Callithrix jacchus: one gene and its partners. The protein of the gene in region 6 interacts with the protein of the main gene of each other region in a pairwise test. Links are inferred from orthologs where the notes say so. Each region holds a gene or a part of one and is shown on either strand. Other genes may lie near its edges.

Evidence for each region.
Region 1: the proteins of GLRX3 (region 6) and CIAPIN1 interact in binary tests that used the Homo sapiens proteins (3 or more experiments, as listed by UniProt). The link is inferred for Callithrix jacchus from reciprocal best matches to the Homo sapiens genes GLRX3 and CIAPIN1.
Region 2: the proteins of GLRX3 (region 6) and RGS20 interact in binary tests that used the Homo sapiens proteins (3 or more experiments, as listed by UniProt). The link is inferred for Callithrix jacchus from reciprocal best matches to the Homo sapiens genes GLRX3 and RGS20.
Region 3: the proteins of GLRX3 (region 6) and phospholipid scramblase 1 interact in binary tests that used the Homo sapiens proteins (3 or more experiments, as listed by UniProt). The two-hybrid records come from large-scale screens. The link is inferred for Callithrix jacchus from reciprocal best matches to the Homo sapiens genes GLRX3 and PLSCR1.
Region 4: the proteins of GLRX3 (region 6) and E3 ubiquitin-protein ligase TRIM36 interact in binary tests that used the Homo sapiens proteins (3 or more experiments, as listed by UniProt). The two-hybrid records come from large-scale screens. The link is inferred for Callithrix jacchus from reciprocal best matches to the Homo sapiens genes GLRX3 and TRIM36.
Region 5: the proteins of GLRX3 (region 6) and GRN interact in binary tests that used the Homo sapiens proteins (3 or more experiments, as listed by UniProt). The link is inferred for Callithrix jacchus from reciprocal best matches to the Homo sapiens genes GLRX3 and GRN.
Region 7: the proteins of GLRX3 (region 6) and MOXD1 interact in binary tests that used the Homo sapiens proteins (3 or more experiments, as listed by UniProt). The link is inferred for Callithrix jacchus from reciprocal best matches to the Homo sapiens genes GLRX3 and MOXD1.

Annotation. Positions count from the first base shown.
Region 1 is NC_133521.1:15,307,598-15,311,854, forward strand, and holds part of CIAPIN1 (anamorsin), read right to left. Parts: intron 4,160-4,257; coding exon 4,086-4,159; intron 2,873-4,085; coding exon 2,757-2,872; intron 1,959-2,756; coding exon 1,877-1,958; intron 996-1,876; coding exon 885-995; 3' UTR 1-884. UniProt on the Homo sapiens protein: Component of the cytosolic iron-sulfur (Fe-S) protein assembly (CIA) machinery required for the maturation of extramitochondrial Fe-S proteins.
Region 2 is NC_133517.1:710,145-713,715, forward strand, and holds the end of RGS20 (regulator of G-protein signaling 20), read right to left. Parts: intron 1,785-3,571; coding exon 1,596-1,784; 3' UTR 769-1,595; downstream 1-768. UniProt on the Homo sapiens protein: Inhibits signal transduction by increasing the GTPase activity of G protein alpha subunits thereby driving them into their inactive GDP-bound form.
Region 3 is NC_133518.1:38,663,972-38,668,228, reverse strand, and holds part of phospholipid scramblase 1, read right to left. Parts: exon of another isoform or gene 3,534-4,257; coding exon 3,310-3,533; exon of another isoform or gene 688-3,309; coding exon 645-687; exon of another isoform or gene 617-644; intron 1-616. UniProt on the Homo sapiens protein: Catalyzes calcium-induced ATP-independent rapid bidirectional and non-specific movement of phospholipids (lipid scrambling or lipid flip-flop) between the inner and outer leaflet of the plasma membrane resulting in collapse of the phospholipid asymmetry which leads to phosphatidylserine externalization on the cell surface.
Region 4 is NC_133503.1:94,750,144-94,754,400, forward strand, and holds part of E3 ubiquitin-protein ligase TRIM36, read left to right. Parts: intron 1-2,063; coding exon 2,064-2,354; intron 2,355-4,257. UniProt on the Homo sapiens protein: E3 ubiquitin-protein ligase which mediates ubiquitination and subsequent proteasomal degradation of target proteins. Involved in chromosome segregation and cell cycle regulation. May play a role in the acrosome reaction and fertilization.
Region 5 is NC_133506.1:71,191,992-71,194,929, reverse strand, and holds the end of GRN (progranulin), read right to left. Parts: intron 2,725-2,938; coding exon 2,601-2,724; intron 2,427-2,600; coding exon 2,329-2,426; intron 2,243-2,328; coding exon 1,997-2,242; intron 1,782-1,996; coding exon 1,548-1,781; intron 1,457-1,547; coding exon 1,226-1,456; intron 1,137-1,225; coding exon 999-1,136; 3' UTR 689-998; downstream 1-688. Other genes in the region: protein FAM171A2, read left to right, coding at 1-79. UniProt on the Homo sapiens protein: Secreted protein that acts as a key regulator of lysosomal function and as a growth factor involved in inflammation, wound healing and cell proliferation. Regulates protein trafficking to lysosomes, and also the activity of lysosomal enzymes.
Region 6 is NC_133513.1:123,455,293-123,460,053, reverse strand, and holds the start of GLRX3 (glutaredoxin-3), read right to left. Parts: upstream 2,966-4,761; 5' UTR 2,950-2,965; coding exon 2,858-2,949; intron 1-2,857. UniProt on the Homo sapiens protein: Together with BOLA2, acts as a cytosolic iron-sulfur (Fe-S) cluster assembly factor that facilitates [2Fe-2S] cluster insertion into a subset of cytosolic proteins.
Region 7 is NC_133505.1:139,053,724-139,058,674, forward strand, and holds the start of MOXD1 (DBH-like monooxygenase protein 1), read right to left. Parts: upstream 3,081-4,951; 5' UTR 3,029-3,080; coding exon 2,765-3,028; intron 1-2,764.

The DNA of each region.
Region 1 (4,257 bases), on a different chromosome or scaffold from region 6:
CCATACGGGTGGGTAACAAGAACAAAGGGGTCTCTGCTCAGAGACTTATTGTTGGTTCAGAGGTCTGCCTTGCTTCCCTCTAAATGCTCACCAACCTGGGCTCTTCTAAAGTGGGCTGACAGGCCCTATTCTAAGCGCAGCACTAGCCCCATTTGTGTGTAACACTAAGTTCTTCCAATGGTCCAAACTGAGCGTGGATGACTATCCAACATCACACACAAATGTACATCCCCTCTGTTTACAAGACATGCAGAATCTCAAGATATCTCAAGATATGCAGCAAGTTTAATACCTGATGGTTAACAGAAATGACAATAAAACACAGATGCAATGCCACAGTAAAATGGGGTTGGGGGGTGGAAGGGGGCAGAGGGACACTGAATATCATCACAGCAACCAGTGAGTGACTCCTCTGGTGCCCTGAGGAGGTCATAAGACACTTGACTTGTGTCACAAAGAATGGAATAAACTAACAACTCGGAAAGACAAGCAGGTGGCAGCATTGCTGAGATGAGACTCCGGGCAGGGGCCTGGAGCTCTGTCACAGAGTGTTAGTGCTCAAGGATGTCTGGGCTCAAGAGTGTTCTGGTCAGCATTTTAACAGAAGGACTTCTTCAGGACACTCCCTTCTTTTAACATGAGGTGAAGAAACCCAGCCCATTCTGGGTAACCAGGACCCATAATACCTTGGTGTCTTGATACAGAGCAGCACTATACACCACTGTGCCCACAAGCCAGCTTCACTCTGTCTGCTAAGCACCCACTCTGCAAACAGATCTCAAACAGAGTGAACAAATCCAGAGGAGGCGGGAGGAGCCACAGTGGTGGGATGTGAGAGACAGGAGTTGGCTGAAGGAGCAGATGTGTCCCATGTTGGGTCCCTCCTAGGCATCATGAAGATTGCTATCGCTCAGAAGCACCTTTTCCCCAGGTTTGAAGGCTGGCATCCCAAGGTAGGGGCAGCTGGCACAGCGGAAGGCATCACCCAGGTAGCACTGGAGAGAAAGAATGGGGAAGGGTCAGCTTATCCTAGGCATACCAGCCAGAAGAAAGAAATTCCTAATTTCATAATGTAGCCACAGTGGCCTGAAGGAAATAGCTGAGTATGTTTGCAGGTCCAACTGAGACTCAAATACTAAGAGTTTTCAAGATTTCTGGTTTTGTGAAAAACTATAGTCAAGAATAAGTTCCTTAGGAGGCCATAGTTCATACACACATATATGTATATATACATACACGTATATCTACATACATACATATATATGTATATATACATTTTGTGTGTGTGTGTGTGTGAGACAGAGTCTCCCTCTGTCACCCAGGCTTGAGTGCAGTGGTGTGATCTCAGCTCACTGAGACCTCCACCACCCAGGTTCAAGTGATTCTCCTGCCTCAGCCTCCCAAGAAGCTGGGATTACAGGCATGCACCACCATGCCTAGCTAATATTTTTGTATTTTCACTAGAGACGGGTTTCACCATGTTGGCCAGGCTGGTGTGGAACTCCTGACCTCAAGTGATCCGCCCGCCTTGGCTTCCCAAAGTGCTGGAATTACAGGCATGTGTCACTGTGCCCAGCCATAGTTCTATATTTTATGCCGTTCCAAACACAACCAACCTCGGTTAAATGTCTAACTCTGGAGTAGAAAGAAATGGGCCACAAATAAAACACAAGACCCTCCCCAACGGACACATGCACGCTAACCCACTCTCACCCTCAGGAGACAGCCTTTCTCCCCATTACTACCTATGTTCATGTGCTCATGCATTTGTCTGTTCCTAAAATATGTGAGGTAGAGCTTGTCTGTGTTTAGTGTAGAAGGATGCCTAATCCCCCTGGGGGTTTTGTGAATGCTGAGGAATGATCCTTCTATTTACATTTCCACAAGCCGACTTGGGTTGGGAGCTCATCTGTTCCCTTGACTTCTCTCTTTCCAGTTCTTCAGCAAGGCCACAGGTGCTGTGGGAAAATCAGTGACTAATGAATGAGAATTACCACCACCCAGAAATCCCAAATCCTAACAGTGCCAAAATGTGCTGTAAGCCTTTTCTCTTCACACTCGGTGTCATAACTCAGAAGCCTATGGGCCAGGCAGATAGCAGCAATGTGAGAGGCTGCTGAGGGAGACAGGAGGGAGAGGAGGATGGGGGGAAGTAGAGGGTGTATGCTCTGTCTACAGAGGGTGGCCACTACTCAGCTTCAGCTGGTTATCATATTGGGTAAAGTGGACCCAGTTTGCCATATTTTCCAAATTCAAGAACAGCAGGGAAAAAAAAATCTGTGTTTTCACTTAAAATCTCCTGATTTGTAAATGCTGGCAGCTTTTACATTTTAAAAACACTGATGATTAAACAAGCCTGAACACCACAGATTAACTTTCTACCATCCTTCCCAACCATTTATAAAAACAAATGTGAAAACACCAAAGTCTCGCTCTGATGCCCAGGCTGGAGGGCAGTGGCACAATCATGGCTCACTGGTAGGGTTCTGAGGGAGAATGAGATTAAGCACAATTACGGCTCATTGTAGCCTCGACCTCCTGGGCTCACGATCCTCCTGTCTTTGCCCCAAGTAGCTGGGACCACAAGCACATACGACCATGCCTGGCTAATTAAAAAAAAAAATTATTTGTAGAGATGGGCCCCCTGTGTTGCCCAGATTGGAAAATGTATGTTTTAAAAATAGTAAAGCATTGCAATTACTTGAGCATGAGGCCACTGGAGGCAGCATCACAGGCTCCAGTCACCGGGCACTTACCAGTTCTTGCAGGCCTTCCTCTTTTTCCGTTCCCCACAAGCAGCAGCCCGCAGGGAAGCTGGATCTGGCTTCTTCAAATCTTCTGGATCCAGCAGCTCATCTGAGTCAATGAGATCCTGGAGAGTGTTAAAGCAACGAGTGACACAGTTGTGGTTTCTGCTAATGAAAAGCTAAAGTGACCACAGGCTTCGAGAGGAAACTTAGAATCCAGGGTAAAGAAGGTGTCCACCCTGTCCTTCTTTTGGCTGATCATAATGTTCAACCTGACCACATGCCCAAGAGGCCAACAGTGAGTTAAACTACATCCGCAGACTATGCACTAGGTTGTGAAGGAATTGGGAACAAATTTACTTGAGAAAAGCCTGTAAGACTGGCCAGCAAATTGTCAAGAATGTTGGGGGTGGGGGACAGGAGTGGGGAGAAGAGAGAGAGCAGGCAGAACAAAGAGAGAAGTGTCTATGACGAGTCATGTGAAAAATGGAATATCTTCCATATAATCCCCGAGAAAAATCAAATAATTATATATACCTTTATGTAATTCTTTGTAAATGTGTAGACACTTAGTCTGTAAACTCTTTGAGAGCATGAACCTGACTTATTTTGCTCACTACTCTAACTTCAATAGTAGAAGTGTAGAAATGAAGAACTTTATTATAGATATGGCAAAGATGGAAAATATTGCTTTTTAAAGCATGGAACATTCAGCAACTTGCCCAAACCAAGAGGCCAATAAAACAATTTAAGCTGACAAAATATTTTCAGGTTTACACAAACCCCCGAGAGTTTTTAACATATCACATGAAGTGAGAACAAGAAATCATGTGGGGAAAAAGAGATGCTAAAAAATTTAAAATGCCACCAATATGGACAGGCATTGTGGCTCACACCTGTAATCCCAGTACTTTGGGAGGCTGAGGCGGGCAGATCACTTGAGGTCAGGAGTTTGAGACCAGCCTGGCCAACATGGTGAAACCCTGTCTCTACTAAAAATACAACAATTAGCTAGGTGTGGTGGCATGTGCCTGTAATCACAGCTACTTGGGAGGCTGAAGCAAAAGAATCACTTAAACTCAGGAGGCAAGAGATTGCAGTGAGCCAAGATCACGCCACTGCACTCCAGCCAGGGTGGCAGAGCAAGACTCCAACTCAAAAAAAAAAAGCCACCAACATGGAGTTTCCTTTTAAACCAAAGATGTAAGTGACAGGAATATTCACAAATCTGGGCTTTAAATACGTTCACACCGACAAGTCCAGAAAGATCACTATAGCTGTTCACACCGAAACTGAGGCTTGAAAGAAAGCAATCAAGTGACCATGGTGCCAGCTCACCATGCTGTCGTCCTCCATATCATTGGCTGAGAGCGTCCACAGCTTGGCAGCAGCAGGGTCCACAGCAGGCTTCACTGAGTCCAAGCAATAAAAGAAAAAGAGCTCCATAAAAACAGAAACTGTTAACTACAACATACCTAAGTGCTTTCTGCTGTGTAGACGAGAACACACT
Region 2 (3,571 bases), on a different chromosome or scaffold from region 6:
GAATCTTTCCATAACCCTTCAAGACTCCCGCAGCGCTGTTCTCCCCCTGCTGTATTTCTTACTGTCTCAGAGTTCCCACAAACATATCAGTCGGCTTTTACTGAATGTAAACTACTAGAGGGCAGGGCTTATGTCTCATTCACAATTATATCTGTTTTCTTTAGTAAGAAATGAGATTGGAAGACTTGGAATTGAAGCACAGGTAAGGGATTGACACCTCAAAAACGTGGAAAAAACACATTGTTCTCTGGGACTGGACTGAGGGAGATGAGAAGAGACACTGATCTATACATGTTTATAGGTTGTATGGGAAGTTGAGGAGGCTTAGGGACACAATTTGCATAGTAGAGTAGGAGGTAAAATGGTTTTATGAGAATGAAGGAGAGGGGCTTGGCTTTGGGGCTTGAATTGAGTCATGAAGATACAGGCAGGCTATAGAGGGGCCAGGCAGGGTTGGACCCAGAGGAGAGCCATCCCCTGTGAGGGCGGGAGTGCAGCACCACCTCCTGCAACATAGCATCTCTCCCACTAGTCAGAGTGTCCCAGATTTTGAATGTTTCCCATTCATTGTAGAGATGGGTTTCTTCAGGATGGGCTAGGTCTACCAACCAGTATTTTTACCTGTAAGCTATGAAGTTCTTTTTGCCTCTGATAAAAATAGTGGGATCTAAGCACAGAATCCTAGTCTGGGAGCTAAAAGATATGCTGCACGTATCCCTACTTTCTTAATCTTATGTTTCCCAAATAGTACATATGGAAAAATAAAGATTGAGATAAAATTATTGTGCTTTATTTCTTTAAAGAATGAAAATGCCCATATTTCTTTCAATAAAAATGGAAATATGCTTATTTGACAGTTTTGTGAAGATGACCAAATTGTGATTTTAAAAATTCATTCTTTAGGTTGGCAAATTCTGATAATAAAATAATAGTAATTCTTTTCTACAAAAGAATTTTCTAAGCACTGCTTCTGTTACCAGACACTTGAGACTGACCCACCTCAGATCAGTGCTCTACATTAACCACAGAGACCCACACACGCACACATATGTATCTCCATACAGACATACTCTAAGATCACGCGGAATGCCATTTTTACATGTAGTGGTCACATCTTTATGAACTGTGAATTTGGGCCCTGTAATGGCACTGATAAGTGAAGTGTTCAAACCAAGCTTAATGGACGGAAGAGGTGATTGAGAAACACCTGAATGTCTTCTCTTGGGGGAACAGTAACCAGTTACCAAAGTCATGCAAAACAGAAGTGGCTCCCTTTGCTCTGGTGGATGCACCTGCCCTGGGCAGCAGGGAGCCTTCTGTGTAGCCTTCACCACTGACCACATGCTAGAGTTACTGCAAATGCAAATACGCTTTCTACAACAGCCCTGTCCCTTTCTCTTTTCCCAAAAGTATCAGTAAAGGTGGCTGCAATTTACATTGTGAATATATAGCAGTCTGTTGAGGGAATCATCTGTTATTAAAATAGCCTGAGTATTACTCCAGCAGAAGATGCTACAGCCTCTAAATTCACTGTGCTAGATGTAGCCCATGAGTTCTTTTATTATTTTATTAATAATAAATATATTTGAAAAATCCTATGCTTCAATGGATTTCTCCGATAAGGACTGAAGCAAGTCCTTATAGACGGTAGAGTTCATGAATCGAGGATACGAGTCTCTGTGCATCAGGGTGTAAATCTGAAGTTGAGCATCGTCGAATATGTGTTGGGACGGCTCCACCATGTTTCTGTTGATGACTTCTCTCACCCGGGAGTCTAAGCTCACCTGCCGACAGAAAGGAGTAGGATGTGTATTAGAGACTTCGGTTGTAGCTCCATCCCAAACTCCCAGAGCTTGTGTTCTTGTTTTCTTGAGACAGCCTCACCCTCGCCCAGGCTGGAGTACAGTGGTGCTATCTTGGCTCACTGCAACCTCCACCTTCTGGGTTCAAGGAATTCTCCTACCTCAGCCTCCTGAGTAGCTGGGATTACAGGGACCGCCACCATGCTTGGCTAGTTTTTGTATTTTTAGTAGAGACAGGGTTTCGCCATGTTGGCTAGGCTTGTCTTGAACTCCTGACCTCAGGTGATCTGCCCACCTCGGCCTCCCTAAGTGCTAGGATTACAGGCGTGAGCTGCTGCACCCGGCCTTGTTGTTTTTTAAATATCCCAAACCAAAGGAGATCGTCCCAAAAATCCAAACCCCCGAAAGAGAAACCAAAAGCATCATCAACGTGGTTCTCAAAGGCCAGTGGCATCAGTAGGTTCGAGGGCTTGTGAGATAGTAGCTGGGTCCCACCCCAGATTTAGGCGGTATAGAGGTCTCCCTGATTGCTTATTTCCCACAAGTTCTCACTGATGCTGGTGGGGCTCACACTGCTGCTTTGTAGAAAACAGGCAGCACAGACTGCCCCTTGCTCATTTCCTTGTAACATGGGGGCTGACGCCTGAAGGCCCAGACTTCCCCTGCTGGTCCACAGTGGCAGGTCTCAGGATGAGTGCTGGCCTGCCCGGAGGGTTGGGCACGTGAAGTGGACACTGACTCAAAATCCTGGGAGGTTCCAGTCACAGGGCCTGAGGGCAGATGATCCCAGAGTTTAAATTCCAGCCCTGTGACTGCATAGTTACAGGGCCTTGGGCAAGGTAAACTCTGTGTCCTAGTGAACTCCTCCCCTGAGGTGGGGATGATGATGAAGATGATGATGATAGTGTCAATGTTTTTGGTGATCTAATGACAAAGTGCTTGGATTTCACTAACCCCATAGGAGATGTCGCCTATTATCGCTCTGATGTTTGGCTCTTCCTAGACAAGACCGTCCCATAAACCAGAGCAAACGACTGGGCTCAAACTGTTCCTGTAGGACACTAGACAAATGAGTCTAGGCCAAAGGTGCAAACATGAACTCACAGGTCTCTTCTGCGGAAAGAACCTCAGCTGGGCCATCCCTGCACAGGCTGGCCATGATAGTTCCAATGCCACGCAGTGCTTTCATAAAAAAACTGAAAATAGGCCGAGCTTTTTCAGCTTATATACAGGTGGCTTACACCTGTAATCCCAGCACTTTGGGAGGCCAAGGCAGGCAGATCACGAGGTCAAGAGATTGAGACCATCCTGGCCAATATGATGAAACCCCGTCTCTACTAAAAATACAAAAATTAGCTGGGCACAGTGGTGCGTGCCTGTAATCCCAGCTATGCGGGAGGCTGAGACAGGAGAATCATTTGGACCCAAAAAGGCAGAGGTTGCAGTGAGCCGAGATCGTGCCACGGCACTCCAGCCTAGTGACAGAGTGATACTCTGTCTCAAAAAAAAAAAAAAAAAAACCCAAAAAAAACAAAGACTGAAAATGTAATTACTTAAATCATTAAATACTGGCTTATGTGATCTATCTTTCCAGGTGCATATATCCACCTTCCTCCTGGAAAGCCTCTTTCTTACCCATAGGTGGCACCTCAAACCCAATACTGTCAAAATGGACTCCCATTATCTCCCGATCTAGTGAGCTCATGAAGAAATGGAGCTAGCTATCCCCACTCAGTTCACAGCCCTGCTTATCCTTCATCTTCCGCCTG
Region 3 (4,257 bases), on a different chromosome or scaffold from region 6:
GTCTTCTTCCCCTGGCAGCTATTGTAAAACAGTAATTGTCTTCCTAAGTTTATTCTTGCACCTAAGGAGTCCTGGACCCACGGAAATGTAAGGCCATTCAGCAGGAGTGCTCTTCTATGAAGCCAAGCCTGCAGGCTAGTTGGTCAGCATTCTCCAATGCCACAGTGCCCTGCATCCAACCTGGTATACAAAGGTTTTCTTGGGTTCATCTTAACTCCTAAGAGAAACTGTGGGAACAAATGATAATTTTCCAATATTTTCTCATCCAAACACAAAAGATAACTTACTTTTGAATATGACTCCGTGCCATTCTGAAGTTGATCATAATTACAGAGAAAACAGTTTAAGTAGTAGAAGCCAGATAAAACGTGATGTATGAAGAGAGGAGCAAAATAAAGGTTTTGACTATTTTCCTTTTAAGTTAGTGTCAATATCCCGAGGAAAGTGCCCAGCATAATGGCATTTTACTTTTTGATTCCTAAATTTTAGAAATGAATTGCTGATGTTTATTATTTTGTTATAGTAGATAACCAGTTTAACTGTCCCATATAAGTGAGAGTGTTATATTTGTGAAATCTGATGTTTCTTTATCTGCATAAACTTTTATTCTTTTTAGAAATAAGATTAATACAATGAACACCCACCTTCCAGAAGTTCAATTTGTTGATGAATCAGTATCTGATCTATCTATTATAGGAAAAAAAAAGTGGTAAGTATATGTTAAATGAAGGTTTTTTTAAGCCAACCAAATTAAAATTCATGTATTTATATATTTAAAGTACAGGGAATCAATTATCAACATTTAATAGCTTATATTACTTTTTAGTGTAAAACAAGTTAATATTTTTAATTAATAAAATATTGTGTTTACAATTAACGTGTGGAAATTTAGATCAAATAAAATTGATTTACACTGGAGTAACTTTAAAAACTAGAAAATTGATACAAACGCTCGGTACTTTTATGAAAAAATGCTTAACATCACTAATCACCAGGGAAATGCAAATCCAAACCACAATGAGATATTATTGTTGCCCAATTAAGAATGGCTATTATCAAAAAGACAAAAACTAACAAATAATAGTGAAAATGTGGAGCAGGGAAGATTTGGTGAGAAAGTAAATTAGGACAGCCATTATGTAGTGCTTCCTCAAAAACTAAAATTACAACTACCAAATTGAATATTCAGCAATCCTACTACCATTTTTCCAAAACAATATTTTTTTCAAATTTTTCAAAATTTTCAAAACAAAAATTTCAAAGGAAAGGAAATCAATATGTCAAAGAGGTATCTGCACTGTCATGCTTATTGCAGCACTAGTAGTCAACATGTAGAATCAACCTAAGTGTTCATCAATAGATAAATGAATACAGAAAAATTCTTTTTTTTTTGATATGGAGTCTCACTGTGTCACCCAGGCTGGAGTGAAGTGGCACGATCTGGACTCACTGCAATCTCTGCCTCCCAGGTCCAAGTGATTCTCTACCTCAGCCTCCTGAGTAGCTGGGATTACAGGCGCCTGCCACTTTTTTCTAATTTTGTTAGAGATGGGGTTTCACTGTGTTGGCAGGCTGGTCTCGAATACCTGACCTTGTGATCCATCCACCTCGACCTCCCAAAGTGCTGACATTACAGGCATGACCAGCTGAAAAATTCATTCTTAATACACACAATGGAATAAAAGTCAGCCATAAAAATGAATGAAATTCTGTCATTGGCAGCAGCATGGTGAGCCTGAGGGACATTATGTTAAGTGAAATAAGCCAGGTACAGAAAAAAAAAAAAAATACTGGATGTTCTTATACATGGAAGCTTAAAAAAATTGATCCCATGGAAGTAGAGAGTAGAACAGTGGTTACTAGAAACTGTGAAGGGTAGGGAGGAGGGGTATAACCCGAAGTTGATTAATGAATACAAAATTATGGCTAGAGAGGAGGAATAAATTCGAGTGTTCTATAGCTATGTAGGCTGCCTATAATTAGCAATAATTTATTGTACATTTTCAAATAGCTATAAGAGAGGATTTGGAATGTTCTCAACACTAAAAATGATAAGATGTTGAAAGTGATAGATATGCTAATTACCCTGATTATATTATTACATATAGTCTATGTGCATTAAAGTGCCACACTGTACTCCATAAATATGTACAAGTACTATGTGTCAAATAATTTTAAAAGTAGATAACAATCTTTCTTCTGGAAGAGGCTCAAGAAATATTGATAACTTTTTTAGCCATCAATTTTCTACACGTTTCAAATTTGTATTAATCATACTTAATATCAACCTTTGTCATATGTGATAACATCCTTTATGTATTTTACGACCCTGATTTTTAAAATACCTATTTTTATATATTTCTTGCATGATATAATAATGACTAAAAATTCCTATGATTGTGCCACTTAAGTGCATTGTGAGAAATTAAGTTACTAAACACAGTGCAAGAAAGAAATGATTCATGAAATAAAAACTGGTTGAATATCACAAGAATATTTGTTTTTATTTGTATAAACTGAACACACAGAGTTTCTTGTTTCTATTTGACCTACTTGATTTCTAACACCACATAAATGTTAAACCTCTTATTGCTGAGACTAATTAGAATTTAGTGGAACAAAATCCAGGACTTTTTACTCCTTTATTAATGACATTTATATAATTGGATCTTTCAAAAAACAAAAGCAGCATCATAAAAATGTAGTTTTATTAGTTAAAATAAAAAGGTGTGTCATATTGCACATAAAATATTAACCCCTTGTTTGGTGCCACTTATTGAAACTCAACAATAAACTATATTTAAATTTTATTTCAAATTATAAGGCAATTATTCAGTATTGAGATTAAAGAGCACCATGCCCAGTACCAAAGTTTCTGGATTGAAAAACCATTCTCAACTCTTTAGGTTCTCACCCCAGAGTGAGAGATATAAATTCTCTGGACCTTAGTTTCCTCTTTTGAAAAACGGAACTAACTGTAGCATTATATATCACAGATTTTCTGTAAGGATTAAATGAGTTAATACATGGATAATGTATATGACAAAAACAAGAAAAGAGTACTAACTAAATGTTTGCTATTGGCTATTATCACAGATTGTATTTAGGATCACAGAAAATACTATTTTCTAAGGCATTTGTATTTTGCTTTAAAATTGAACCTGACCTAAAAGAATTACAGTAAACTGTTAGCAGAAAATGTAGTTTTGCCATTTCAGACTTTGATGAATTATTCATTTGTTAATCTGGTTTCTCAAGCTGGAAGCACAGTTCTGTTTTTTTATGAGTATGTTGTGTCCTTCAAATTACCTGACTTAAATATTCTAATCCAGGTGGGCAGTTTAATGGAGTCGGTGGTGCTGGCATCCATGGTACCCCTGCAGCTCCACCTGGCTGATTATACACTGGCTGATTTGGGACAGGAAAGCCAGCTGGCCCAGGACCTGGATGGCCAGCTGGTGGGGGTGGGTAGCCGATCTGGGGCCCAGGGTAGCCGACCTGGGGCCCAGGGTAGCCAGCATATCCTGGAGGTCCTGAAATGCAAAAAAGTGAAATGATATATAACTGCACCAAAAATGGAATCGTCAAGCGTTCTGGGGTTAACCTATCTATCTATATGTTGACATTTCAGCATAGATATCTGTATCCGTGATGTTCAAGATATGCTTTTATCTTTCTGAGAATTTTCAATGAAATATCTGTGGTTGCACAACCACTTCTATTTTGGGTTAGTAGGCTGTAAATAGCCTTACCCATACCATTCAAAACTCAGATGGAAAATATGCTTTAATATCTGAGAAAAATCAAAGTAAATAACCATGATCTAGAGTCACCTACATAAAGATTCTGGCAAGCCTTCAAGAGAAAGAGAGAAGGCATTAGGTAGATGGCCCAAAATAATGGCTTTGAGTCAGCATTTCTAGGGCCAAAGTATCCTATGAAAAAATGATAATTCTGAAATTCTAGCAAATGACTTACATATGTATAGAACTGGGGGTAGTTTTGCCCCCCTCTTCCAGGGATATTTGACAAGATCTGCAGACTTTTTTTGGGGTCACAACTGGAGAGGAAGATAATACTGCATCTGGTGGGTAGAGGCCAGGGCTGCGGCTACACATCTTAAAAGGCCCAGAACAGCTCCCTAAAAATGAAGAATTGTCTAGCCCCAAATACTGTAGTGCCACTGTTGAGATATGAAGGTGAAAGCATGTCATTTCTTTTAGGACATTCCAGATACCTGCTTGGGTTAACCCTTTG
Region 4 (4,257 bases), on a different chromosome or scaffold from region 6:
CTTCTTATTTCATGTCCTTCTCTGTGATTTGACATAAATATGTGTGTGTAGCTTTTATAGCTTATTGTTCTTACCATATGATTCCAGCAGTTAAGCTTGGGAATTGCTCTATAGAAAGGACTATGCATATGTACAAAGATTTAGCTTTTAATCATTTTACTTTTAGTGAAAAACCAGAAACCTGTTTCCAAAAATAAACAGTTAAATGTTGATATATCTATTTAGTAGTGTACCATTGAGGGGGAAAACACTGGCAGGATCTATACAAAAAGGTTATAGTAATTACTTTTGAGTTACTTAAAATCTTTAATATGTATTTTTAAGTTTCTGATTTTCTTACAAAATATGTATCATATTCAGAAAAATTAATTTGCTTTGCAACTCTACCGAATAAAATATGAATATGGAAAGAAGTCATATAATATTCATTGAGACGCCAGGTGTGGTGGCTCATGCCTGTAATCCCAGCACTTTGGGATACTAAGGCAGGCACATTGCAAGATCAGGAGATGGAGACCATTCTTGTTAACATGGTAAAACCCCATCTCTACTAAAAATACAAGAAAATTAGCCCAGTGTGGTGGTGGGTGCCTGTAGTTCCAGCTATTCAGGAGGCTGAGGCAGGAGAATCACTTGAACCTGGGAGACAGAGGTTGCTGTGAGCCGAGATCATTCCATTGCACTCCAGTGGGCAACAAAGAGAGACTCTTTCTCAAAAAAAAAGTATTCATTGAGAGTTTGATATTCTTACCAGACTTAGATTTTAAAATATTAAAATAACAGTTCATAAGAGCTTCTGCACAGCAAAAGAAATAATCATTAGGGTGAACCAGCAAAAAAATATACAATTAAAAACCAACTCCACCAAAAAGTGGGCAAACGATATGAACAGAGACTTTTCAAAAGAAGACATTTATGTGGTCAAGAAACATGAAAAAAAGCTCACCATCACTGGTCATTAGAGAAATGCAAATCAAAACCACATCGAGATACCATCTCATGCCAGTTAGAATGGCAATCATCAAAAAATCTGGAGACAACAGATGCTGGAGAGAATGTGGAGAAATAGGAACACTTTACACTGTTGGTGGGAGTATAAATTAGTTCAACCATTGTGGAAGACAGTATGGCAATTCCTCAAGAATCTAGAAATAGAAATTCCATTTGACCCAGCAATATTACTGGATATATACCCAAAGGATTATAAATTGTTCTGTTAGAAACACACATGCACATGTATGTTCATTGTGGCACTGTTTATAATAGCAAAGACTTGGAACCAACCCAGATGGCCATCAATGATAGACTGGATAAAGAAAATATGGCACATATACACCATGGAATACTATGCAGTCATAAAAAAGGATGAGTTCATGTCCTTTGCAAGGACATGGATGAAGATGGAAACCATTCTCAGCACACTGACACAAGGACAACCAAACACCACATGTTCTCACTCATGGATGGGTGTTGAACAATGAGATCACATGGACATGGGGAGGGGAACATCACATACTGGGGTCTGTCGGGGGATGGGGGGGCCTAGGGGAGGGATAGCAGGGGTGGGGGAGTTGGGGAGGGATAACATTAGGAGAAATACCTAATGTAGGTGACGGGGGGATGGAGGCAGCAAACCACCATGACTTGTATATCTATGTAACAGACCTACAAGATCTGCACATATACCCCAGAACTTAAAGTAAAATAAAAAAAATAAAATAATAGTTTGCTTATGGGAGGATATAGATAAAAAATTTCAAGTCCTGGGTTGTTATTCTGTAGGTAGAAGGCATGTGGCTAAAAAAATTCACTTGTGGTTTTGAGTCAGTTTTTGTCTGTTTCATTCTTTTTTCTCCTTTCACTTACAAATATAAATATACCTTTTAAATATAAAATATATGAAAATATTTAATACATTTAAGTTTTGTGTATTATAAATTTAGAAAATTATTGGACAGTATAGAAATCATTAAATATTGCTTTTATATAATTTTTATTGAGAAAAACACAGGTTTTAAAACATAAATATTTTAACATTGTTTTTTATTTCATAATTCTTTCAGGCATAGATGTGCCAGAGATCAATGAGGAACAGAGCAAAGTTTATAATAATGCATTGATAAATTGGCACCATCCAGAAAAGGATAAAGCTGATAGCTATGTTCTTGAATATCGGAAGATCAACAGAGATGATGAAATGTTGTCATGGAATGAGGCTGAAGTGTGCGGAACAAGTAAAATAATTCAAGACCTGGAAAACAGTAGTACCTATGCTTTCAGAGTAAGAGCTTACAAGGGTTCAATCTGTAGTCCTTGCAGCAGAGAATTAATTCTTCATACTCCTCCAGCTCCAGGTATGGTGAATATCAGGAATAAAAAAATCATAGAGTTGCAAGAGACCTTGATAAAGTAGACTAGACAATATCTCCATGTAGACCTGCATTGAAACAAACTCTTGTTTTTAAGACTCGGGAGAAGTAGCTTCTATTACATCTGGGATTTAGAAATTAACTGAATACTTGAATTTTTACCTACTAGGCTGAGAACAGGATTAGGTTTTAACTGATGTCAGATAGAGAAAAACATGGAAGAAATTTGGGTGAGCAGAGCTATTAAGTTGGGATTAAAATAGCATAAATGCTACCTTAAAAGTTTTAAGTATATGATTCTATAGTTTTGGTTAGTTTATGGAAATCTCTAAAACACAGGATCTAGGTAGGTATTTTTTAAAAAATTATTGGTGTAATATCCTAAAATATAATTTTGATTTAATCTAATTCTGATTTGTCTGGATTTTTAAAATTTAACTTGGCATTTCTCAGCTAATCGGGACGGAAGCCATTTATTAGAACTACGTGAATAGCTTTTCCTCCTGTGCTAAAAGTTCCTCATGCCCAGTCACCATTCCCTCCCTTTCCAAGTAAAAAATCCACTGATACTACATATAGAGCACGGAAAGATTTTTATAGAGTGAGAATGACTAAAGTTTTGTTGATGCTCACTATGATGTATCCATGAACAAGGGATATTTAGAAGCAAAGTTCCGCTCAGCCTGGTTAGGAGGAAAACGTTTTCCCCTTTCAGTTTCTGCCTTCGACATACCTTTAATTGTATTTTAGATCCACTGCTCCCTGCCTTTTTAGTGGCTTATATACCCATATTTTCTGCACTCTGACTTTTCCTTTTTTGTTCAAAATAGAAAAGCACAATTTGTTTTTCATGCACATTGTGGCTTTTGAAAAATTGGAACACAGACATACAAAGTTGGCTAAAATTGTATTTCTTGAATTTTAATAAAATCCAATAGAGTTTTGGGATAAATTTGCAAGTATTAAGTAAATATTTTATGGTTTATGCTATTTCCACTTCCTTTTCTAGTCTTTTTGACTAAAAGTGGAAGAAAAGCAAACCTGGACATAACGCTGTTTTCAATCATGTAGTGGAAGTGGGAAGGAGGAGAGGAAGTGCTGAGGTTGTCTTCCTTTTTCTGAGAGAAGATACATAACTAGGGTGACCTTTTAAATTTATTGTGCAAACTGGGAGACTTTTGAGATGGAGAGGAAGCACAATTAGTCATGCCAGGAAAATAGGCATTAGCAGGAAGAATAGTTGGTTCACATGTGGTTAATGGCGGTAGTTTGCTAGCAGCCTCTTTTTGGAAGTGGAGTCTGGCTCTGTCACCCAGGCTGGAGTGCAGTGACATCATCTAGGCTCACTGCAACCTCTGTCTCCTGGGTTCAAGCAATTCTCCTGCCTTAGCCTCCTGAGTAGTAGCTGGGATTACACATGTGGGCCAGCATGCCTGGCTAATTTTTGTATTTTTAGTAGAGCCAGGTTTCACCGTGTTGGCCAGGCTGGTCTCAAACTCCTGACCTCAAGTGAGGTGCTCACCTCAGCTTTCAAAGTGCTGAAATTATGGGCGTGAGCCACCATGTCCAGCTGCTAACAGCCTGTTAAAAAAAAAAGAGAAAAATACATGCATATATATATATATAGTGTGAGAGGGAGAGAAGTGGGTCTCACTGTGTTGCCTAGGCCAGCCTCAAACTCCTGCCTTCCATGTAGTTAGGACTAAAGGTGTGCACTACCATGCCTGGAGATCGTTTATAAAATTGTGAAGTAAAGATAAAATTTATCATCTTAACAAACAATTTTTAAGTATACAGGTCATTGGCATTAAGTACATTTACAGTATTGTTCAATTATCACCACTTGTATCTCCTTAACTCTCATTATTCTGAACTGAAACTCTGTGCC
Region 5 (2,938 bases), on a different chromosome or scaffold from region 6:
GGGCGACGAGGCTGGAGACAAGAAGAGCCCGTGGCAGCGGCGGGAGGAGCGGCCGCTGATGGTGTTCAATGTCAAGTAGCGCCCGCGCCGGGCCTGGCACCGCCCCTTCTGCGCGGGTGCGCGCCCTGGGGGCCTGTGGGGCCCTCATGCGTTGCCCCCAGCCCTAGGCCCGAGAGGGGCCCAGGGGCCTCGGAGCCGTTCCGTGGTAGGTGCCGGGTTGTGTCTTACAAGGGACCCTGTGTCTGCCTCCAAGCCGGGGAGGAGGGGGGTCCAGCCCTCATGGGGAGGTGCCGGGGAGGAGGGCTGGGGGGAAGCAGTGCCTGTGTAGTGTGGCTGTATATAGAAAGCTCTATTGTGGGAAAGCAGGAGGGGTGACCCAGCCTCAGCTGCTAGTGTGAGGGCTGGGAAGGGCGGGGGCGTTCTCTATGGCCCCCTGGGAGGGGTTGGGAGTGCTGCTTGCTGACTAGCCCACCTCTGGGCTACGATGTCACAGGGCTGGTGGCTGGGGCAGCTCTGGGGACTAGGGGGTAATGTGATGACGGCGGCTGTGGGCAGCAGCAAATATAAACTGGTGAGGTTAAGGCCGTGTGTGTCTTTCTGTGGGGAAGGGGAGGGGAGTGCTGGCAGTGGAGCGAACTCTGGCTCTGGGGCCCTGGGGAATGCAGGCAAGGCGGCAAATCAGACGCTGTTAAGAAAGTGTACAAACTTTATTGGAACGCGCACGCGCACACGCACACACACACCCCTGTGAATAGGGAAAAGCACCTGGCCACAGGGTCTACAGAAACGGGGAGGAGATGGCAGCTTGTAATGTGGCTTTTGCCACAACCCCCTTCTGACAGGCAAGGCCTTAGATTGAGGCCCCACCTTCCATGGTGATGGGGAGCTTAGAATGGGGGCCAGGGAGAATTTGGTTGGGGAGAGGTGCTAGGGAGGCCTGAGCAGAGGGCACCCTCCAAGTGGGGTCCTGAGGGCTGCAGAGTCTTCAGTCCTGTCCCTCACAGCAGCTGTCTCAAGGCTGGGTCCCTCAAAGGGGTGTCCCAGTGCAGGGTTTCCCTGCGCAAACACTTGGTGCCCTTGGCTGAGCAATGGAAGCCGGCAGGACAGCAGTGGCGCTGATCGGCACAACAGACACCCTGGATGGTCAGAGTGGAACAAGAGGGTTGGACATGGCGGGACTGGGTCCCTGGCCATACCGAGCCCCAGGGTGGGGGGTGTCACTGACCTGGCGGTAGGGACAGCAGGCCCAGCCCCCTTGGCTGTCTCGGCAGCAGGTCTGGTCATCATGGCAGAAGTGCCCTGCCCCACATTCCACGTCCCTCATGCCCACATGAGGGCCACGGGCCAGGAAGGTGGCAGGCTGGGCAGAGACCACTTCCTTCTCGCAGGATCGGGCCTTCACGTTGCAGGTATAGCCAGCTGGGCAGCAGTGCTGGCGATCCTCACAGCACACAGCCTGGTGGGGAGAGGGTGCAGAATGGCATTATGTTCCTGTCCCCTCGCCGGGCTTAGCTCCCTTATCCAGGGGAAGGCAGGGAGGCACTCACATGGGGCAGCTGGCAGCAGGCCCAGCCCCCGCCCAGGCTCGGGCAGCAGGTCTGTCCAACTGGACAGCTGGTGTGCTGGTCGCAGCCGATGTCTCTGGGGTGGGATCCGGAAGCCCGGCGGGCAGGCATCTTCTCCAGCCCAGCCACGATCTTGGGTCCCCGATGACACTGCCCCTCAACGACACACGTGTAGCCCTGGGGGCAGCAGTGCTGGTGGTCCGAGCAGCAGACAGCCTGGGGGTGGGCAGAAAAGGCCATTCTAGGTAGCCACATGTGGGGCACAGCGTCGAGCCCCTACCTCTCCAGCCCGCCTTTGCTGCTTATAGCATCTCCAGCTGGGGATGAATCTGACAGAGCTGAGTGCCACCTATGGGTGAAGCAGAGGGCAGAAAGCAAGAGGAGTCTGGCCACCACCTTCCCAGGCCAAGGTGCTGTCCTCTCCCATGTACCTCTGGGGCTGAACAGCAGCCCCACTCCCCAGACATGAGTTGGCAGCAGGTATTGGAGGGGGGACAGCTTGTGACGTTATCACAGGGGACGTCTCTCTTCAAGGCTTGCGGGTCCAGCAGGCTGAGGTGAGCTGGGGCCTTCTCCATCCAGGGTACCTGGTGGGTCCCCTGTTCACAGGTACCCTTCTGTGTGTCACACGTAAACCCTGAGGGGCAGCAGTGTATGTGGTCCTCACAGCACACAGCCTATGGCAGACAGGAAGGGCCAGTGGGCACTGGGGTCCAGCTGGCTGCCACAGTGCTCAGTCCACCCACCCACCACCCCTGAGTACCTGTGTAAAAGGGCAGCAGCCCCAGGCCCCCGACTGTAGGCGGCAGCAGGTGTAACCATCTGGGCAGCTCACCTCCATGTCGCATTTCACATCACCCACTGTGAGGAAGGCAGAGAGGACCCTCAGGGGTATCCACCCTTTGCCACCTCCACAGCTGGAACCAGGTGTTGAAGATGGAGGGTACCATTTACGCCACCGTGCAGTGATCTTACTGCCAGGCCCAAAATGGAGGAAAGGGGCCCCTCCCCTGAATCTGTGCCTGCCTCTGGTACCTGTGTGCGCAGGCAGCTTGGTGAGGAGGTCCGTAGCATGCTCCTTGGAGAGGCACTTATTCTGGATCAGGTCACACACAGTGTTTTGGGGGCAACAGTGCAGGTGGTCGGAGCAGCAGGTGGCCTGAGTGGGACAGGGGTGGGTTTTTGTCACTTCTAGGCTCAGTAGCGCACAGGGAGCAGCCAGTCTGATGGCTGGCACTGCCCCAATCCCCCACTAGGGGGTGGCATGAGTCCAGCATCAGCCAGGCTCCCAGCAAGGAGCCAGCCAGCCCTAGGCCCCAGAGCCCCTGTAAGGTGCATGTCAGGGCCAGGTGGCTGGGGGCACACAGCCAAGC
Region 6 (4,761 bases):
CACATGCAGTGGCTCACACCTGTAATCCCAGCACATTGGTAGGCTGAGGCAGGCGGATCACCTCAAGTCAGTAGTTCTAGACCAGCCTGGTCAACATGGTGTAACCCCACCTCTACTGAAAATACAAAAATTAGCCAGCTATTATGGCGGGCATCTGTAATCCCAGCTACTCGGGAGCTAAGGCAGAACTGCTTGAACCTGGGAGGCAGAGATTGCCATTGCACTCCAGCCTGGGTGACAGAGCAAGATACCATCTCAAGAAAAAAGAAAAGAAAAAAAACTTTTATCCATTTTGATAGTTTAAGGACTTTTTTTAAAATGAAGCATAAAAACAAACATAAAACACACACCCACAAAACAGTCTTTTCAGGTGATATACATTCAAAACATTTATTTAGGGCAGTTCCAGATAAGAGCTGCTTACTTCAAGAGGCCACTTCTGGTGACTCCTGTGACTGTGCTGACCTGTACTGGATGATTAAGAACTCAGCTTCCAGCAGTGAGTAAACGTTAAGTGTTCCCCCCAACCTCCGCTTTTTTTTTTTTTAACAATTTCCCAGGTAAATGTGAAATGCCTAAGGAGCTGTTTTAAATAACACTTTTAATTTCACCACCCCATAAAGCATTTCTATCCATTAGTAAAGCATTTCTAACCATTAGTAACTCTCATTCCTCCCCATTTCCAAAGGCAACACTCCCATCTCACCTGCACTCCCCATGGCAAAATCATAATACTACCTGTCTCTAATTCAAATTCAGTCAGCAAAATTTCACTCAATTTAGATCAACAGGGCCAGTCATGGGGGCTCAAGCCTATAATACCAATACTTTACAAGGCCGAGGTAGGTGGATCACTTGAGTTGAGGAGTTCCAAAGACCAGCGTGGGCAACAAGGGGAAACCTCATCTCTACAAAAAAATACACGAACTAGCCCAGCATGGTGTTCGCACATGTAATCCCAGATACTCAGGAGGCTGAGGTTGGAGGATCGCTTGAACCTGGGAGGTTGAGGCTGCAGTGAGCCAAGATCACATCACTGCACTCCAGCCTGGGCAACAGAGCAAGAGCCTGTCTCCAAAACAAAATTTACATCAATAAGTATTTTTGGCTGGGCATGGTGGCTCACACCTGTAATCCTAACACTTTGGAGGCTGAAGAGGGCAAATCGCTTGAGTCCAGAAGTTCGAGACCAGCCTGGGCAACATAGCGAGACCTCGTCTCTACAAAAAAATATAAAAATTGGACAGGCACGGTGGTTCTCACCTGTAATCCTAGCTCTGGGAAGCTGAAGTGGGTGGATCGCTTGAGGTCAGGAGTTCGAGACAAGCCTGGCCAAAATGGTAAAACCCAGTCTACTAAAAATACAAAAAATTAGCCGGGTGTGGTGGTGGGCGCCTGTAATCCCTGCTACCTGAGAGTGTGAGGCAGGAGAACTGCTTGAGCCAGGGAAACGGAGGTTGCTGTGAGCCGATACTGCGCCACTGCACTCCAGCCTAGACAACAAAGCGAGGCTCAGTCGCAAAAAAAAAAAAACAAAACACGTAGTGGTGAAAGCAGTGTGGTCCTAGCTACTCAGGAGGCTGAGATGGGATGAGGAGATGGGTGGGATCACTTGAGCCCGGGAGGCAGAGGCTACAGTGAGCGGCGACTGCGCCACTATACTGCAGCCTGGGTGTCAGAGCCAGAGCCCGTCTCAAAAACAACTCCCTACTGAAATAACTAAGGGCCAACATCTCCTGAGTGTTTCCTGCATACCTGGCATGGTATTCATAACGTTTTACGTACATCATCTCATTTAACCCTCACCACAACCCTGAGGTACTAATAGGTGCTATTTCACCGTTGGGAAACTGAGGCTTGGGTACGAAACGTGCCCAGGGGTTACACGGCTAATGAGTGGATCCCGGGCAATCCGACATAAAGTTCCTTTAAAAACCACTACTACAACTAGCGAACGACTGAGTCCCTGGAGTGGTCTACGGTGGGAGGTGGTGCCAATCCCCACGGAGAGGCCACGTGCAGACCTTTCCCTGCAAGCGCGCATGCCGGTGAGCACCGAGCCGTCCGCAGGCTGCCCGTTCAGCGCTTCCAGCACACCCAGAAAACACGTTCTGTGCATTCCCACGGACCTCCCGTGGCCTTCCCCAGGCTCGCCGGCCGGACACCGGGGCCAAAGCCGAGCAGCAACTCTGCCTCCGGCAACAGGTTAAGTCTGAACACCGACTCTGCCCGCTGACCAACAAACTTTCCAGGCTGACTTCAAAAGCCGGCCAGGCCTAGCGAGCGCGGCGGGGCTTCCCAAGCCGCTCTTCCCGCGACAGGGGCGTTCCTGGAGGGAGGCGAAGAGGAAGGGGCCGACGCCGAGCCTGCAGCACCCTCCCGGCGGGCGCAGGAAAGGTGGAGCCCGCAGCCGTGGCTCCCCGCTCCGTGGCGTGGAGGGCCGGGGTCTCGGCGCCGCTCCGTACCCCGCCCCGCTCCGCCCCGCGGCACAGCTGAGTCACCGCCTCTGTCCCGCCGCGGGGCTGCCCAGGCCGGGGCCGGGAAGGTCGCGTCCCTCGGGCTTGGACAGCCGTCGTCGGCGTCGGAGCCGGGGCTGGGGCTGGGGCTGGGGCTGGGGCTGGGGCTGGGGCGAACCTCGCGCCCTGCTCGCTGGCCCGGGGCGGGAAGCCCGCGGCTCCGACCAGTCACCGCCTGAAGCCTGGGGGAGTCCACGGGCGGCGCCGGGCCCGGTCCCCCGAGGCCGAAGCGAGCCGGGCGCCAAGGAGCCGGGCTGGGCGGCCCGCCGTCCCCCGCCGGCCGGGTCCTGCGGCCACTCCTGCCCCGGCTCCTCACTCCTGCCGCTCGCCTCCCCGCTTACTTGGCTTTGAGGCTCAGCAGCTCCTCAAACTGCCCGACTGAGCCGACCTCCTCCACGGCCCCTACAGCCGCCGCAGCCGCCCCCGCCGCCATGCTGCCGCCACCAGACAGGAGCAATCGAGTGCCCGCGGCCGGATGTGGGCGGGGCAGCGGAGCGCAGAACGGCTGCGCGAGGAATCGCCCCGCCCCTGTCTGCACGGAACGCTGCAGAGCCGGAGAGATCCCAGAAGCGGCGGCGGACGGTGGATGCCGCTGGGGGGCTCTGACCCTGCCAGGTCTGGGCACTCCGCTGTGGGCCTCCTGGCTCCCGTGGTTCCTGGCTGTCAGGGTTCCTGGCTCTAGTGACTTCAGGCCGTCAGGGCCCCTGGCTGTGGAGGTTCCTGGCTGTATTGGCTCCTGGCTGTAGGCGCCCTTGGGTATCGAGATTCCTGGCTGTAGAGGCTCCTGGATGTTAGGGTTTTTAGCTATTGTAGGAGTTCCTCGCTATAGTAGGGGCTGCTGGGTGTCGGGGTTCCTGGCTATAGTAGGGGCTGCTGGGTGTCGGGGTTCCTGGCTATAGTAGAGGCTTCTGGGTGTCGGGGTTCCTGGCTATAGTAGGGCCTCCTGGGTGTTGGGGTTCCTGGCTATAGTAGGGGCTGCTGGGTGTCGGGGTTCCTGGCTATAGTAGGGCCTCCTGGGTGTTGGGGTTCCTGGCTCTAAGGGCTCCTGGGTGTCAAGGTTCCTGGCTATACTAGAGGCTCCTGGGTGTCGGGGTTCCCAGCTATAGTAGGGGCTCCTGGCTGTCGGGGTTCCCGGCTATACTAGGGGCTCCTGGGTATTGGGGTTCCCGGCTATACTAGGGGCTCCTGGGTGTCGGGGTTCCCGGCTGTAGTAGGGGCTCCTGGGTGTCGGGGTTCCCAGCTGTAGCAGGGGCTCCTGGGTGTCGGGGTTCCCAGCTGTAGCAGGGGCTCCTGGATGTCGGGGTTCCGGGCTATAGTAGGGGCTCCTGGATGTCAGGGTTCATGGCTCTAGGGGCTCCTGGATGTCAGGGTTCCTGGCTATATTAGGGGCCCCTGGGTGTTGAGGTTCCTGGCTGTAGGGGACCCTGGGTATCGGGGCTCCTGGTGGTAGAGGCTTCTGACTGTTGGGGTTCTTGACTATCAGGGCCCCTTGGTGTTGGGGATCCTGGGTGTCAGGGTTCCTGGCTCTCTGGACACCTGACTCCTGAGACTCCTGGCTTTTGGGGCTCCAGACGTTCCTTCCACCTCCTGTGTCTCCTGGGTGTGTAATAGCGAGAAGGGGCTGGTGGAGGCGTGAGGGTGAGAGGTGAGTGAAAGTGAAGTCAAATGTGTACATTTAGGAAGGTGAAATTATCAAAAATGAAACTGCAAAAAGGTGAGGAAGAACTGAGAGTCCTGGGAACAAAAGTGGTAGGTCTTGAACTTCAACACAGACAGGGTGATTCCAGTTCAGTCCTGGGATCTGAACCTGGGACCCACAGTATGTCTCTCCTCCTCTGCCCCTCCCTGCATGCCACTTCTCATTGCAGCCCCACAGAGCCATCACCCATTGTAACCTCAGAACAGAAGGGACTGGAGTGGCTCCACTGGATTGGGGGCCTGCCTCCAAGATCCCTGCCCTCCTCCTGCCTGGCCTTCTTGGGTGGTTCCTGGTTTTTCTTTCTCCCTTGGGCCTCCTCCGACGTTGGCTCTCCACGTGGTGGACTCTGTACCCCACTCTCCATGCTTCCCACGCACTTTCTGGTTTGTGTCATCTCCACACCTTCAGTGACATCAACCTCCAAGAAAACTTCAACAGCAAGCCCAGAATCCCACCCTGCACCCCAGAGTCCAGCATCCATTCACTTTGAGGAGGGGCCATCTTTTACTGCATGTCCCCAGACCACACTGGGCCTTCCCTCCAAAG
Region 7 (4,951 bases), on a different chromosome or scaffold from region 6:
AAGCCACATGATGAGGTGACTAGGATAGCAACTTAGGTTTTATCATACACCCTGGTATCACTGTCTGTCCAACTCTTACTGGCTGCTATGCATATATTGATGCCCCAGGAGCCGATTATTTTTGTGTCATTGTTCTATATAAATGTTGTTCTCACCGGGAGCAAAATTACACAAAATATAAATTCTACTAATAGAATCACATATGCTACATTTAAGAATCCTATTTATGGCCAAGCAAGGTGGTTGACACCTGTAATCCCAGCACTTAGAGAAGCTGAGGAAGGTGGATCACCTGAGGTCAGAAGTTTGAGACCAGCCTGGCCAACATGCTGAAACCTCATCTCTACTAAAATACAAAAATTAGCTGGGTGTGGTGGCCAGCACCTGTAATCCTAGCTACTTGGGAGGCTGAGGCATGAGAATCACTTGAATCCAGGAGGTGGAGGTTGCCATGAGCCAAGATAGTGCCAATGCCCTCTAGCCTGGGCGACAGAGTGGGACTCTGTCTGAAAAAAAAAAAAAAGAAAAAAGAATACTATTTACTTTTTGATATAGTTACTGAAAATACCTTTCTCACACTAATGTATGAAGAATCTTAAATAAATAGTTTCTAGAGAGAAGATTGAATTTTGAGTACTGTAAAATTGAATCATTCAGTCTGGATGATAAAAATTGAAATTGATTTATTTTTTTCATTTATAGTATTTGGTGTATTTCATCTTATTAAACAGATTTTAAGTAAACTGTCTTTCCATTTAATTGGATAGCATAATTTTTAATGCATTTTGTATGCCCTAAAATGAGTACAATGTTTATAGAAATGGAAAGGTAAAAATATGTCAGCCAAATAAGAAAATGATCATCCTTTACATGTAAAAATAATTTTATTTTCATAGGAATAAAAATGAAGGGGAAATCCTATTTATTGCTCCTTAAGTATATTGGGAATGCAGCCATTCATAATTTATCTCATAGTGATGTGTATTCACTAATTACTTTAAGAAAATTTCTATGTTTCAAAATCAATCTAACAAGTACTTAATTAAGTCTTATGCAATCTTTTACCAACAGGGTGAAAACATTGTAGTTTAACCAAGTTTATCCTTTTGGTGGACCTATTATGGCATGTTGAATCAGAATTCTACTCATGGCCTTTCATTTGACATACAAGGGTGAGCTTTCTAGAAATGCTACTCTTTGGGGGAAAATAACATGGAGTTAACAATCAAAGTGTGTCCCATTTTAATAGTAACATAGAGCTCTCATGCTCCCTTTTGTAGAACATGCAAGGACAGTTAAAAAGGCATGCTATACTCCTCACCCTAAACAAACAGCTAAACTTTATATTTTTAGAAAACGTTGGCTCAAATCGGTATTTAAATAAGGGATTGTCTACTTTACAACACAGGAGAATAAGTCATTCCCCTAGTGAGGCCTGCGTTTGTGGTCAAATCCTTGGTTCACAAAGTTAATGTCTGAGATGCTGCACCAGGAGAAAATTTATGCATCAGTGACTTCAGCAGAATGCAATCCTCATAAACTTTATTTTACTGGAGTTGCAAAATTACTTCTTTCGGGGAAGAAACGATTAATTTGTGAAAAAAATAGATAATAGACTGATTTTGAACTTTTTATTGTTGTCACTTTATTTCCTGCCAGAGTTAACGGCTCAGTGCCAGAACAGGGTTCAAATTTGATGGCATATCTCAGTCTAAACGGTGTGGAAATCGAACTCAGAAGTTAGGGATAAAATCACTAAGAAATGCACTCTAAATCCACCGAGAACACTGATTTTAATACTATCAAAGCCTTAATGCAATGCCAGAGCAATTAGGAGTTTTGACTTTTGCTAAAAAAACTTTTAGCAAAGGGCAGTATGTTTGGATGTAATTTTATAAGCAACAAAGCGTGTACATTCACCGCCATCCAAACGCTGGTCACGGTTAAACAAGGATGTCCAGGAAACCTAACCACCTAATCATTTTGGTCATCTCACAATCTTTTTCTCCTTTTTCTATTTAGTAAGGCGCCACCTATGAACCGGCAAGGTGGTTACTTAGGCTCCTTCAAAGTAAATCAGCAGCGGTCAAATTAACTTTGTTGGTTATTAAAGTAAGCGAAAGTGTTGCCACTTCACAGGAGATTTTGCACGGGTACCTTCGATTTTAGTCTCTAAATGTGGCTTCCTGAACAGCTCTCGGAATAGCAAAGTCCCTAAGTGATTCTTAGGGACCTTTTCCTGGAGAATGGTGTAGCTGTTATCAGCCCCGCGCCTGGGGGCTCCAAAATAGCCACGATTTGGAAAGTTCTGAGATTCCCACTCCTAGACAGCAAGTCCGCGAAGTACTAAAGCGCTCTGTCCCCTCCCTTCTCTGCGAGCTGTCCCGTTAGATCCGCAAAGCCAAAGCCGAGGTCCTTCTCCCTTCCCGTCAGGGATGAAGGGGAATGCGTTGCAGGTGTGTAGGCGGGGGTAGGGAGGTGTCTCTTAAGTGGGGCGCTGGGGACAGGAAAGTGTTCAAAGAAGGAAACCTGCCTGGGGTCACTCGAGCTCGGCTTCCCGGGGCGCCCAGCCTCTGCGCGCCTTCGGCGGCTCGGGGAGCGCAGGCGCTGCCAGCGGAGGTGAGAGTGAGCCCGGCCGGGGGCTCAGGGCTGCTCCAGGCGAGACCGAGCTGCTGGCCCTGGGGACGCCCCGCACCTGCGCCCTCGCTGGGGTCGGGACGGGACGGGGCTCTGCCGGGCGGGCTCCGGGAGGAGACGCGCTTACCTGGAGGTAGGGCCGCCCGTGGGCCACACCGCCCACGACGATGTCGGCGGACGCCATGGCCCCAGTGGGCGAAAAGCCGAAGCCCACGTATCCCGCGGTGCGCACCTGGAGGCGGAAGGCGATCTGGCTGCCCCGCTGGTCCCAGCCCAGCCAGTACTTGCCCTCCGAGTCGAGGAGGGTCCAGTGCGAGTAGGTCCTGCCCGAGGCCCCCGCCGCCGCCCGGGGGAGCAGCCCCCACAGCAGGAGCAGCGGCCAGCAGCACATCCTCGGGCGCCTCCTGCCCGCCGGCACCCCGCTCCCGCCGCTGGGGAGCAAGGAGCAGGACGAGGAGCGGCGGCGGCGAGCGGGAGCCCAGGGACCGCCCCTCGGGCCGGACGCGCGCCCGCCCGGGAGGGGCAGGACCCGCTCTCCCTGCCCCTGGCGGCCGGCAGGGCGCGCCGCGTCCAGTCCCGTCCCGTTCAGTCCCGTCGGGTCCCGGCCCTGCCAACTCCTACCCTGCCCGGCCCTTCCCTCGGATCCACCTGCCTCCCCAACCCCTGACTTGGTCCCCGAGGTCGGGGCTGGGTGGGAAGGAAAGCGAGGGGCTTCCCGGAAAGAAAGGGAGGCAGACGCCGAGAGAGGAGGAAAGGGGCCAGAGGCAGAGGGAAAAGGAGGAGGGCCAGAGAATCCTAGAGCGGGAAGAGCGTGAGCTCTGCGGAACGTGGGCCAGACGTTCCCGGGAATAGAATGGAAATTGACGAGAGAGGGCAAGTTTAGCTTGGAGTGGGGGAAATTGAGTGAGCAAAAGGGGTAGTCTGGAGTGCGATGGAGAGAAAGCCCCCGTCGAGGGTAACCTTCACAAGTCTGTATCCGTTGCTTTCCAGAGCCTTTGTTTCCAGTGACGTCCCTACTTCCATGGAGGGACCCGGTTCACCTACCCCCGAGGATTTCTCTCACTCTCCCACCCGGCGTGGCCCCAGAGCTTGCTCCACACGACAAGAGTTGGAGCCCTGGCGCTTGCCTTCACCTAGCTTTGGTTTGGCGTTGACGAAACAAAGTCAGCCAAACTACTTTGCCATCAGCAGAGGTGGTCAGGGTTGAATTGTCATTTGAGAGCTATATTTAATTTAACATTCTCTTTTCTTGCTATTCCAAGTTCTGGCCATAACCATGTTTATCAAAAGTTTGTTTTGTTTTGGTTTTGCCTCTACCTTTGACCTCTGTCTTCAGAATGCTAAATACAATATGGCCACTAAAGTTTACCTTGCCTATTTATTTATTTATTTATAATCTGCCAAGTTTCCAAAAAGTTCGAAAGTTTGTATTTATGAAAATACAAACAATACAAAATAGAAAAACAAATAAGAGAGACTATCAGATGAAAAATACGGGTTAGTAGGGCAGGCTCTGCACAAGCCACCTACAGCCCCATTCTCTCTCCTCACCTCATATTTCAGCCTGTTTTTCCCCTGCCTATCTTTTCCCATAACTTTTCAGAAATTACCGTCATGCATCTAATCTATTTTCTTCTAAGAATACAGGAATATTTGACCAAGTCTGGAAGGTAACCTGTAGGTGGATCTGCTTGCCAAAGTGCACAGAGGCTTGCCTGGGAAGGGATTTTTCCCAAGGAGAGTTTGGATTAAGGTCTGCAGGGCTGGCCAACGGCAATAGGCCAGGATCAGAGAAGAGTGATGTTGGAACCTCGAAATAAAATGAGAAATAAAAGAGCTTCCAAAGCCTTACACAAACTGGACATGGAGACTATGAAATACAGGTAGCTGGTGCCTCACCTCCACCAGGACCCACCAGACAAATGTCGAGGGCAGCAACAACCATACAGCAATGTAAGGGTGACGACTTTGGAATTGGATTTCTCCAAGCACCAGGGACTTGGCTTCAGCCATGAAGAAAAGAAGGGGATATGGAGAAAAAGAGGAACAAAATAGGGGGAATGGAGTCCCAGAGAAGTGGCTCGTGGCACTGTGTGGGCCACACTCACTATCTCTTACTATCCTGGGCAGGGATTTCAGGGAAGTAAGATTATTGTAGAATGATTAAAGGCAAACTTTCTGTTTTGTGACCCTGCTTTTATTCCTAGCCTGGAGGAACCTGGAAGAAGCACATTGCTACAACTCCTTCCTGGGTTCATTACACAAACCCCAGATTCACATCTATCAGGACTTTTTGTCTCCTTGTTAAAACAAA